2 linked regions of the Drosophila melanogaster genome follow. The protein of the gene in region 2 interacts with the protein of the main gene of each other region in a pairwise test. Each region holds a gene or a part of one and is shown on either strand. Other genes may lie near its edges.

The links. The genes of interacting proteins can lie anywhere in the genome.
Region 1: the proteins of CG12868 (region 2) and CG42362 interact in a two-hybrid assay, tested with the Drosophila melanogaster proteins (one large-scale study listed by BioGRID).

Annotation. Positions count from the first base shown.
Region 1 is NT_033778.4:21,661,327-21,667,175, forward strand, and holds CG42362 (uncharacterized protein), read left to right. Parts: upstream 1-2,799; 5' UTR 2,800-3,187; coding exon 3,188-3,646; 3' UTR 3,647-3,804; intron 3,805-3,857; 3' UTR 3,858-3,865; coding exon of another isoform or gene 3,866-4,330; 3' UTR 4,331-4,630; downstream 4,631-5,849. Other genes in the region: pirk (poor Imd response upon knock-in), read right to left, coding at 1-591; CG42363 (uncharacterized protein), read left to right, coding at 3,866-4,330; CG42365 (uncharacterized protein), read left to right, coding at 5,546-5,849.
Region 2 is NT_033778.4:14,603,076-14,607,747, reverse strand, and holds CG12868 (uncharacterized protein), read left to right. Parts: upstream 1-2,450; 5' UTR 2,451-2,547; coding exon 2,548-2,581; intron 2,582-2,642; coding exon 2,643-3,112; 3' UTR 3,113-3,199; downstream 3,200-4,672. Other genes in the region: Su(var)2-HP2, read left to right, coding at 1-331; CG33468 (uncharacterized protein), read left to right, coding at 789-819, 887-1,374; CG33469 (uncharacterized protein), read left to right, coding at 1,573-2,055; tra2 (transformer 2), read left to right, coding at 3,649-3,764, 4,247-4,400, 4,459-4,587.

The DNA.
Region 1 (5,849 bases), 7.1 Mb from region 2:
GATGCTCACGTTGATGGCATTCTTGATCACAATGTTCCCGGCTCCGTGCCGTATCGTTAGATTGCTGTCGATCTCAATGCCGCCGGACTTGCCTTGGCCAGCATCCGTTGGCGTTGGCTTGGCGTTTTTCGATCGAGAGCTGGGCCTTTTCTTGGCATCGCCGCTAAGATCCAGGGACTTGACCACCTTGAGCAGTCCATTGCAGCCCGTGTAGTCGACCACCTGCTGCGTGGAGCTGCTGCCCAGGTAGATCCTTCCGTCGTTACCCGTGTACTTGAGGGCTCCGCTATTGTTCTGGATCTTGAGTCTGGTGCTATTGCCGATTACTTGCAGTTGCCCGGAGTTGTTCACAATCCGTATGCGGTTGCCATTGCCGATGATCCTGAGATCGCGCGTGTTGTTCTCAATGCGGTACTCCTTGCAGTTGCCCACCAGATCCTTGCTGGCGTAGATGGTTGTCTCCGGCGGCGTGGAACTTTTCTTGCTCTTATTGGGGGATTTACCCTGCTCGTGCTCTTTCTGGCAAGTGGAGCACTCGTCATCGTCATACGAATCGCTCGCCGAATCGGTTTCTATCACACGAACGCCCATTTTGGTGTGAATTACCGCCGGTATCGTTTCTTTCCGCTGCTAATCACTCGTAAAAATCACCGTCCAGTCTGTCGGTTAGCTCATTCTCCAACTCTTTTTCCTATCTCTATCTCCGTCTCTGTCGCTGGGGGAAGACTCCGAATGATGAGCAATCCGGATGGCTAAGGTCAAAGATATCCAATTGTGTGTGTTGTTTTTGTATTCAATTCAGCGCTGGGGGATCGTCTGCTTCCGCCAGGGGAACTCCCTCTGTTTTCTGAACTTTTATTGTGCGTTGAGTTTGGCGATCTCTGGTATCGCTTTCGCCGTGCTTACTGCTCGCTCGCTCGCTGGCACTTTGGCTATTGAACGCTAATGCCGCTCGGGAACCGCTTTTATATCCGCCGGAGAGTCTAGCGCCGGGGCTTTTTTATTTCGCCCGAGGGCCGGCACGAAAATCACCTCGTATGCATGAGAGTCGCGAACTTAAAGGCATCTCGCCATCTGGGGAGACCTTTGATTGGGTCGCCGAATTTATTCGGCATGAGTAATGTCCACCTGTTGGTGCCCTCGCAATGGGCTCGTCCATCGACTTGAGCTAGCCAAATCTTCAGCATATAGTAATAAAGTTTAAATATATATTTAGTTAACAGCACCAGTAAATTCAAACATTATTACTGTATCTTATCGTTTTATAGTTTCTCCTAAAATGATGTGCTTATAGTCTTATCCCTAATAGTAATGGGTGTTATTCGGGTCTTGACCCATCAAAGTGGAATTTATTTACTTACGCATTGTAACTTTTCGCTGTGTAGACTGTTATCAACTTATGCAGTACAGACCCAACTTTGATGGGGATTTTTGTTAACTTCTCTTATCATTAATAAGTCCACTGATATAGTTGCTGATTTCCATTTTTGGGAGTCGTAAACGCGGAGTCAAAAACCCACCAACCCCAACCTAAAGGGGTAATAACCGACGATAACCGATGATAAAGTTTTAAGCACTAGAAATTGATAAATATTTACGCAGTTGCCAAGTGAGATCTGTGAAACGGAGGCAATGATTTCCTCTAGATGCTTCACGAGCCTGTTTGTTTACAAACAAAAAAATCTCACCCGTAATTTGCACAATCGACTTCATTGGCATTCGATTTAATTTACATATGTTTACTTATATATATATCCCGAAAGCTTCCGATTCTCGATCTTGTCATTTTCTGCGATCGTTCCAAGCTGAGTTGCCAGTTCAAGTGACCAGCTCAGTCGGTTGGGAAGCCTGGAGCTGAGCAAAGCCCGGCCAAGTCAAGCATACATATGTATCTAGATCGCCAGCTGAATAAACACGCTAGCATCTAAACAGTTGGCCCAATAATGTTTACTCGTGCGGGGAAAGCACCGCAGCTATGGGGCTACAAATGAAAGGGGTGTATTGCCGAGAAGGTCGTTTTTTATTATTTTCAAGGTGCATTCACTGTTGACAAATCAATTATCTATTGCGGAAAATTATAAAATGATTTATTTGCCAGATCGCTGTTTTGGGCCAGTAAACGGGGACTTTTTTTGCAGCTATCTCAAGTGTGCTCGCCAAGCAAAAGCAAAAGTTCAAGAAAAGCTATAATCGTATGAAGCCTTGTTCGGTGTGAAGGCGTTATAACGGCAAATCGTGTGTATTATCAGATATGACACGGCGCAGTTACAGCGCACACAAATGGAGAAATTGTGCGAGCCCAGGAAAAAACCCCCTCGATCACAACCCATAACCCATCAAAACTGTTACCACCTGCAGCCACTATCTAGCACGCGTCTAATACCGGTACTAAAGCCCCACCGACCAAAAAATCACCGATGCCAGATGTTTTATCTTTCATTAAGATCGAGGCGTTGCTTTGTTGTGTTTCATGTTCTGGATCGAAATAAGTGAACGTTATGTACTTGTTCTGACAGATACTTTAATACTTTTGATGGGGTGTTAAAAGCATTAATATTGCATATGTGTCAGATAACAAGATAATGCATTTATTATTAATGTCAAATATTTTAAATAGCCAATGCAGTTAAAAATCTAAATTATTTTTTATTTAAATTGTTTATAAAATGTATAAATTTAGAAATGTATAATCAGCTAATTGATTAAATTAGTATTGTAATGGTAGGTCCACTCCAAAATGAAATCGTTGCCATTCACACCGATTTTTAAACAAACAACGTTTATAAACAAAATCATGTCATCTCTAATAGTTCGTAAAGTAAATATATAAAATAGCAAATAGGTAAATGTGAAAATTTGTGATCTATTTAACATCTAAAATTTGAAGTCAAATTTTTAGGGACATAGAAACAGAGTCAAGCGACATTATATTAATTAATGTAGTCGTTATTTAAAAGAAATTAAATGAAGTAGATATATTTAGATTTTAAGTACACTCTTAAGAACCACCCTAACATATGTTACTAACCATTCACAGTTTGTTATAAACAAAAAGAACCCATCTCTATTGACGTGAGCTTTTATTGGTGCTTATTTCATAAGTAAGCAAATAAAAAGCGCTCCCATAACGAAATCATACTTTAGTGTACAACACCAACGCCAATCGGTAGTAGGAATATAAACAATTATGAATAACAACTCGAATGTTTTGACTATTGGCACTGAGAGCACTGGAGATTTCGAAAGCACAAAAACACGCAATGAGTATTCTGTGTCTGATTTTGAGAAGCACTTACAGAAAATTTTACTGAATGGCGGCAAGCCTTTGACAAATGTTTGTGATGAAGGATCCGTCGAAAGATTTGCGGCGAAAGAAATCAAGAAGAACGGATACTACTACGAGTTCGGTCCGGCTGATAAGATAAATGGCTGGATGATAAGCGGACCCACTTTTGACTCCAAGGGTATTCTGGGACGATTAAAGAATGTGATTGGCAAGGAGCACTGGATATCCAAAAACGTTGCTAAGTATCCGAAGGATTCGAGGAACTTCATAATCAAAACTGTTTCCAACGCTTTGGATCAAGAAAGATCAGATATTTACTCATATTTGTGTTATCTAAATGAAAACACTAAGAGGAGGTGAAGAGGAGGTGGTTTGTTTGCCATTCACCGTTGTTCCCATTGTTTATAAACAAAATCAACCCATCACTAATTTAGAGCTTTGAGGAAACTTGTACCCGAAATGATTTCATTAGTAAATAAATAAAACAACACAAACGGGCATTATTAATACTAAAGCAGGTGAGCTGAAAGAGTTTCATGCTAGGATATTCCACTTACGAAGTATCTTTTAGATTCAAAAATGACGTCAACAACAAACGTTTTAAGTATTGGAAATGAAACCGAGGAACTATATTACAAGGTACAGAAAACAAGCAACCCTAAGGCATATTTTGAGTTCGAGTTTGAGAACCACATGCGAAAATTACTGCTCAATGGCGAAAAACCCAAGGATCTGGATGAAAAGTCCATCGGAAGATTTGCAGCCACTGAGATAACGAGAAATGGCAAGCAGTACTATGAGTTCGTTCCTGACGGATACAAAATTGGAGTCATCATCAGTGGATGCTCATTTCTGCCCAAAGACATGGTCTTCCGCGTGAAAAAGAAGATTGCCAAAGAACACTGGGTTAACGAAAATGTAATTCAATATAAAAAGAATTCAATGCGCCACATACAGGGTATCGTATCCGAATGCTTGCAGGAAGAGTGCAATGATATCTACCAATATCTATGTTATCTGAGACAAAATGATCCCAACAAGTAAAATAAACATGTAATATATAACTTATAGATTTAAAGTTTCATATAACATATTGTAATTAGCTTTAAGTGAGGTCGAATAACTATCTGCCATTTGAAGAAAATAACTGACTCAATTTCACCATAATTTCAAAATATTTGTTATTTTTTACCAGATACATATAAAAAATAAAGGTGACTAATGCTAAGCTTGTCATATTTCAACAATCCAACTATCAATTCATTTGAGTTTCAGTAACCGCATAGATTTTGAGAAAGAAAGTTCGAATTTTTTGTAAAATACTAATAGAGTGTACTAATACTAATAGAAAAGGAAGTTCAAGAAAAAAGTTCGAGTACTTCTAAAACTTGTCAAACACGTGTGCCTAATATTTCCGGAAAAGTGGAGTCAAGCCAAAGCGTTTCCTGTCTTGAAAATAAAATTCTATCGGTTTCTGATCTACCAGTAAAAAGCCCAAAATCATTTCCTATTATAATGGGTAGAATACTATTGAGATCTAATTGTCCGCCGGAACCCGTAATAAAAGTGAATCTAACCGACTTTGAGCAGAATCTGTGCTTCTTGTGCATGGAGAAACCATCGTTGGGAAAGCGAGTGTATCACATGTTCGTCACAAATGAAATGGATATTGAAAAGGACTATCTGAAAGTGCGAAAAACCTACGAGAAAAGAAAGGACATCGTAGTCGTGGACCAGCTAACACTGTACACCCTTTGTGCACGATCCTTGTACCACAGAGTTCAGAATAAGTTAACAGATGTTAAGTGGAATAAGCAGCGAAATGTTTTTGAGATGAAAAAGATTGGACTAAAGGACAATTTGAACCTTTGGAACAAGTTGTATGCGCTGGAAAACGCAGAGAGGGCAAAGCTATTTAACTATACTAAGTTCCTAAGCGCAACGAATGAATAAATTGATATTTGTTTTCATATCCCTTTTACTTTAAATGGTATTATTCGATTTAAAAATTTGTGACCTGCATCAGCAGGTCCACCCTAATCAATAAACATATGGTTGCCATTCTCTGGAACACTTTCATTATCAAGCTCACCACTAATATTGTGCTTTGCTTGTGAACTTTTATGTTGTGAAATAGCTGAGTATTTCGAATCTTTACAAAACAATCCATCTATTTAACTAGTGGCCTCTGACCAACACAACTCAGTATTAGCATAAACATTAAAAGGGACACATTACAAAATTCTAAAAATTATAACCATGGAATCTGAAGCTCAAGAACGTACTGCACCTGTATCTGCAAACAAAAGTGATTCATCAGCGGCACCTGTGCTCAATATATCCGGAAGGGTCAAGTCAGAATGGAATACACCCCGTATTAGGGGCAAAAAGAAGCCGCCGGCTGTCTTGGAAGCACCCAAAGTGAATCCGCACACATTTCCAGCGATATTAAGCAGGATTCTACTGAAGACCAATGCTCCGCCTGCAGCTCCACCGAAGTTTAATCCAGCCGACGGCACACAGTACCTTTGCTTCCTGTGCCTCGAGAAGCCGGAGAGTCGAA
Region 2 (4,672 bases):
GATGAATTCTTCACCAGCTGTGCAGAAACCGGCGCTGTGCAAACAGCAGACGGCGCCGGCAAGAACTCTGTCCAAGAGCACAGTCTCATCCGTTGCACGAGCGAAATCAACAGGGTCTTTAAGTGCAGTGTTGGGTGAGACTCCTGCTGACGAATTCGTATCCCCCGCCGGAATGAGTCTGAGTACCACCGGAAATCCGAATGTCTTCATCATTAACCACGCGGTGCAGTCAGAGGAAAGCATCCTGCCTGACTCCAACAGCAGCGTAGGGCACATGGAAACGACGGTGATCAAAGGCGAGCTGGATGATTCTGCGGAGATTATTATATAGCAGGGCAAAGACTATAAACCAGTTGGAAAGTATTCTAAGTTACTTTAGCACAGTTAATTAAGAGTTAATTATTTCGTTGAACGCAAAATCATAATTTTGTAATTCTGAAATGAAGAATTTGTTAAACCTTACGCAGCATCGTCATTTTTTTTTTTTTTTTTTGAAATAAATGGTTAAATATTTTATTCAGTGTGGGACTTTCAAGTAAATATCTTATAGTTATCATTGCATATTTATTAAGTATCCAAATAAAATATAAATATAAACATTCTAACATTTTTTTATATAAGCCGAAACGCATAAATCGTGTAAAATAAGAAATAAGAAAAATTACATTTCGTTCGAAGCTTTTGGAGCCATTGGCGAAATCTTAAAGCTCTTGTGAAATATTACAGAGCGATAAGTATAAAAGTTGCGCAGGGGAAAAACCGTTTCTATTAACAACAAATTTTTCAAGATGACAACATCTGCTGTTGAAGCTCCCAATAGTAAGTTTAGTTAAAACTTTACAGAGGCATATTATAATGATGCACATATGTATATAATAATCTACAGGTGCATATCCCGATTTAGAAAAGCGACTGGAAAGGTATTTGCGAAGTGTGTTTTGCCTAAAGGAAATCGATACTAAAAATGAGTACATTCCAACCGAAGTGGAGTACTTTGGAGTTCTGAGTTTAAGCGATGTTCGAGCGCCTCGCCGAAAACTGTGGTACATGTACTATGCGACAACAGATCAGGTGGACAAAACTGTGGATCAGATCCATCGTAAATATGGCCAAAAGAATATGTACGAGCTGTTCAGAAAACCGGTATATACAGGGGCTGGAATGCGATCCCGTGTTAAGAACCACTTTAAAGGGCTTAAGTGGCACGTAAAAGGAAACATTTTGGAAGCCCCGCTAGGTAGCTCCCTTAATGATGAGAAAGTGGTTAACACAATTGCAGATTTATATCAGAACGAAAGGAGAAGATACTTCGATTACCTTATGTCTAGGAGTAATCTGTATAAATCGTGTACATATCGAAACATAAATGCATAAAATATTTTCATTTATGTATAAGACTTTCTAGAATAAAGCTTTAAAATAATAAATGCCAATAAATGCTAACCAGTATTCTTTTAACGCTTGTTGAGGTAGGAAGGCAAAATTGCCGCACACTTATCAATGGGCAAAGCCTATGAATCACCTTAAGTTTTCATCTGATTATATTTCTTAATAGCAGGGAATATTAGCAACATGGACGATAAATTGGAAAAGTACTGGAGACGTCTATTTTATATGAAGTCAGTTGCAGAACCTACGTCGTTGGATGCTGATACGATAGAATATTTCGGAATATTCAGTATTGACGAACCAAATGTCGCTGCCCAAAAACGGTGGTACATTTATTATGGCCTTAGATTAGAAAGGTTAAAGGTTCTGGAAAGGATTCGAAAGAAATATGGCAATAGGAATGTCAGAGAAATATTTCAGATCGCCACATTCAGCGGAGTGGGATTTCATAAAGTCGTCAGAGAATATTTCTCCAACTTAAAATGGTTCACAAGCAGAAATCAATTGGAAGCTCCACTAAATAGTTATTATAATGATGAAAGACTAGTGAAAACTGTTTCGGACTTGCATAACAAGGAGCAAAAAAGAATCTTTGACTATATAATGATACAACACGCCTGGTTTGAGCGGTATAATGATCAAAAACCACCTCCTGCTAAACATTAAACTAACTAAAAACATCGACTTACAGTCGACATCTGTTGACTAAAAGCGGCATGTGTATTTGTTGATAGGGGGTATTATTATACATTTTACAACCTATTGGTCAAGTTAAATGATTTATAAAAATATGTCGAATAAAATATATACACACACAAGTAGCTTGCGGTTATAATATAGTAGTACATAATAGTATATACCTTGGAGTCTAAAGACACAGTCATCCGATCATCCTAATCAACAAACATAAACACCCTAGTTGTCTGCATTAATAGGTATTAAAAAGAAACAAGCGCATTAAAAGCTCACTGTTTTTTGATAGGCCACAGGGTTGCTTCAAAAAGCTCTTTTGTTGTGAAATTGGAAATCGTAAACAAAACGAAACAAACTTTATACAAATCAGTTGAAATCGTATTTGTTGGGTATTTAATAAGAGTGCGTAGGAAGTTAACACGCATTCAGAAGTCAGAGAAGCAAGAGTCACCTCGTTATTAAAATATGACAACGAATTCAGTAACTGATAAGAACACGGGTAATTAAAACGGCAAATTATTTATTTGGAACATCAACGATGATTAACAACCGATTCGCAGAAGGAGATTACAACCTGGATGAGGAAATCGACAGCCATTTGAGAAAATTGTTCTGTCTAAAACCAAAAGCTGAAACACCCAAACTCAATCCCTACATAGTAGAATTCTTTGGAGTTCTTAGCTTGACAGATCTCCGTGCCCCACAAAGAAAACTATGGGTCATATATCACGCCAAGCAGCCTGATCTGGACAAGACCGTTGATGAGATCCACGAGAAGTATGGCAAGAAGAATATGTTTGATCTGTACCGCACACCAGTTTTCAGTGGAGTTGCTCTGCGGGACAGTGTGAGAAAGCACTTCTCGAACCTAAAGTGGTTTACGACGGGAAATCTCCTGGAAGCCCCACCTAAAAGCCACTTCAACGACGAGCGAGTGGTGAAAACCATCACGGATCTGCATCATCTGGAACACCAGAGACTATATAATTATGTGATGGTGAAGAATATGTGGTCTATGCGGTATCGCTAAACTAACCTGTGATTTAGGATTAAATTTGTATATGACTATCTAAAAGCAAGAATAATAAATTGTACTATTACAAAATCCATATAACATAATGGTTTGCTAACCAATCAAATAGTATTGTTTTCTTGTAGTACAAATTTTGTTTATTTTCCTATATTTCGTTGAATAAAGTACATAATAATTATGCTGATTTAATTTGTTAAATATATTCGATAACATTAAATAAATTCCGCTTGTGTTTTTTTTTTCTAAATGGATGACAACGCCGCATAAGGGTTAAAGTGCCAATCGATAACGCACGTCCTCACCTATCGCCACCCCTGTTGAAGCGTGCGTCTTTCTAAACGCAGACAGAATAAATAAAACCTGCCAAAGGCTATCAATTAATTGGTAAACACTGATTGGGTGTGCAATATAGCAGGGAATCAAACCCTCAAAAATGGTAAGAACGGCAATCCAAATAGTGTGCACCCATTCATCTTCTTTTTTCGCCACCATTGCTCCGATAAGCGAAGTTTCGATAGGTAAGCAAAAAGCCAATGGATCGGGAGCCACTCAGTAGCGGGCGTCTCCATTGCAGCGCCAGATATAAACACAAGCGATCGGCGTCATCATCGTCAGCGGGGACAACTTCATCCGGACACAAGGACCGCAGGTAAATGTGTACACACATATGTGAGACGACCCTAAACGATACCTCTTTTGACATGAAGCATCGAGTAGTTTTGACTGGCAGTTTGGAAAAAAGGTTCAACTGTCATAGGGCCCTTTCATTTGGATTTGCCCCCTCAGCCGATTCAGCTGGTGCTCTTGCCAAGAAAGTTAAAACCAAAAATCATTCAAGCCGATTTCATTTCATTGGAAGAAACCAACCAACCAACCAACCAACCAACGAACATCACTATGTAAGAACCCACCGAAGCAATCATTTTCATTCTACGTCCAACTACCAAAGAATTTGGCCGAAAGAGGTCGAACCCAACCGTAGCATTTGTCAAGTCACACAAATTTTCCAACTGTCAGTTACCAAGGCGTGCAAGAACCACCCGAAATCCACACGAAATACAAAACTTTTCAAGACCCTCAAGAACGAACCGCAAGATAATCTTATTTCATTCCATTCCACATCGAATCAAGGTCTGACTACGATTACTGTGGCAGTCGCCGGCACCAGCGGTCCTCCTCTCGCCGACGCTCCCGTTCGCGTTCCTCCTCGGAGTCGCCGCCACCGGAGCCGCGTCATCGCTCCGGACGTTCATCACGCGATCGCGAACGAATGCACAAGTCTCGCGTAAGCCATTCTGCCGATTAATGCCTCCTTTCAATCCTAAAGATCTTCGGCGTTTCAGGAACATCCACAAGCAAGCCGCTGCATAGGAGTCTTTGGACTGAACACAAATACCTCGCAGCACAAGGTACGCGAGCTGTTCAACAAGTACGGACCTATCGAACGCATCCAGATGGTGATTGACGCACAAGTAAGTCGGTTTTCGATAAGCATTGCTAAGATATTTCCTGCCTGAATCCTTTTGTGTAGACAAATCCGCTGAAGCCCTGCAGTTT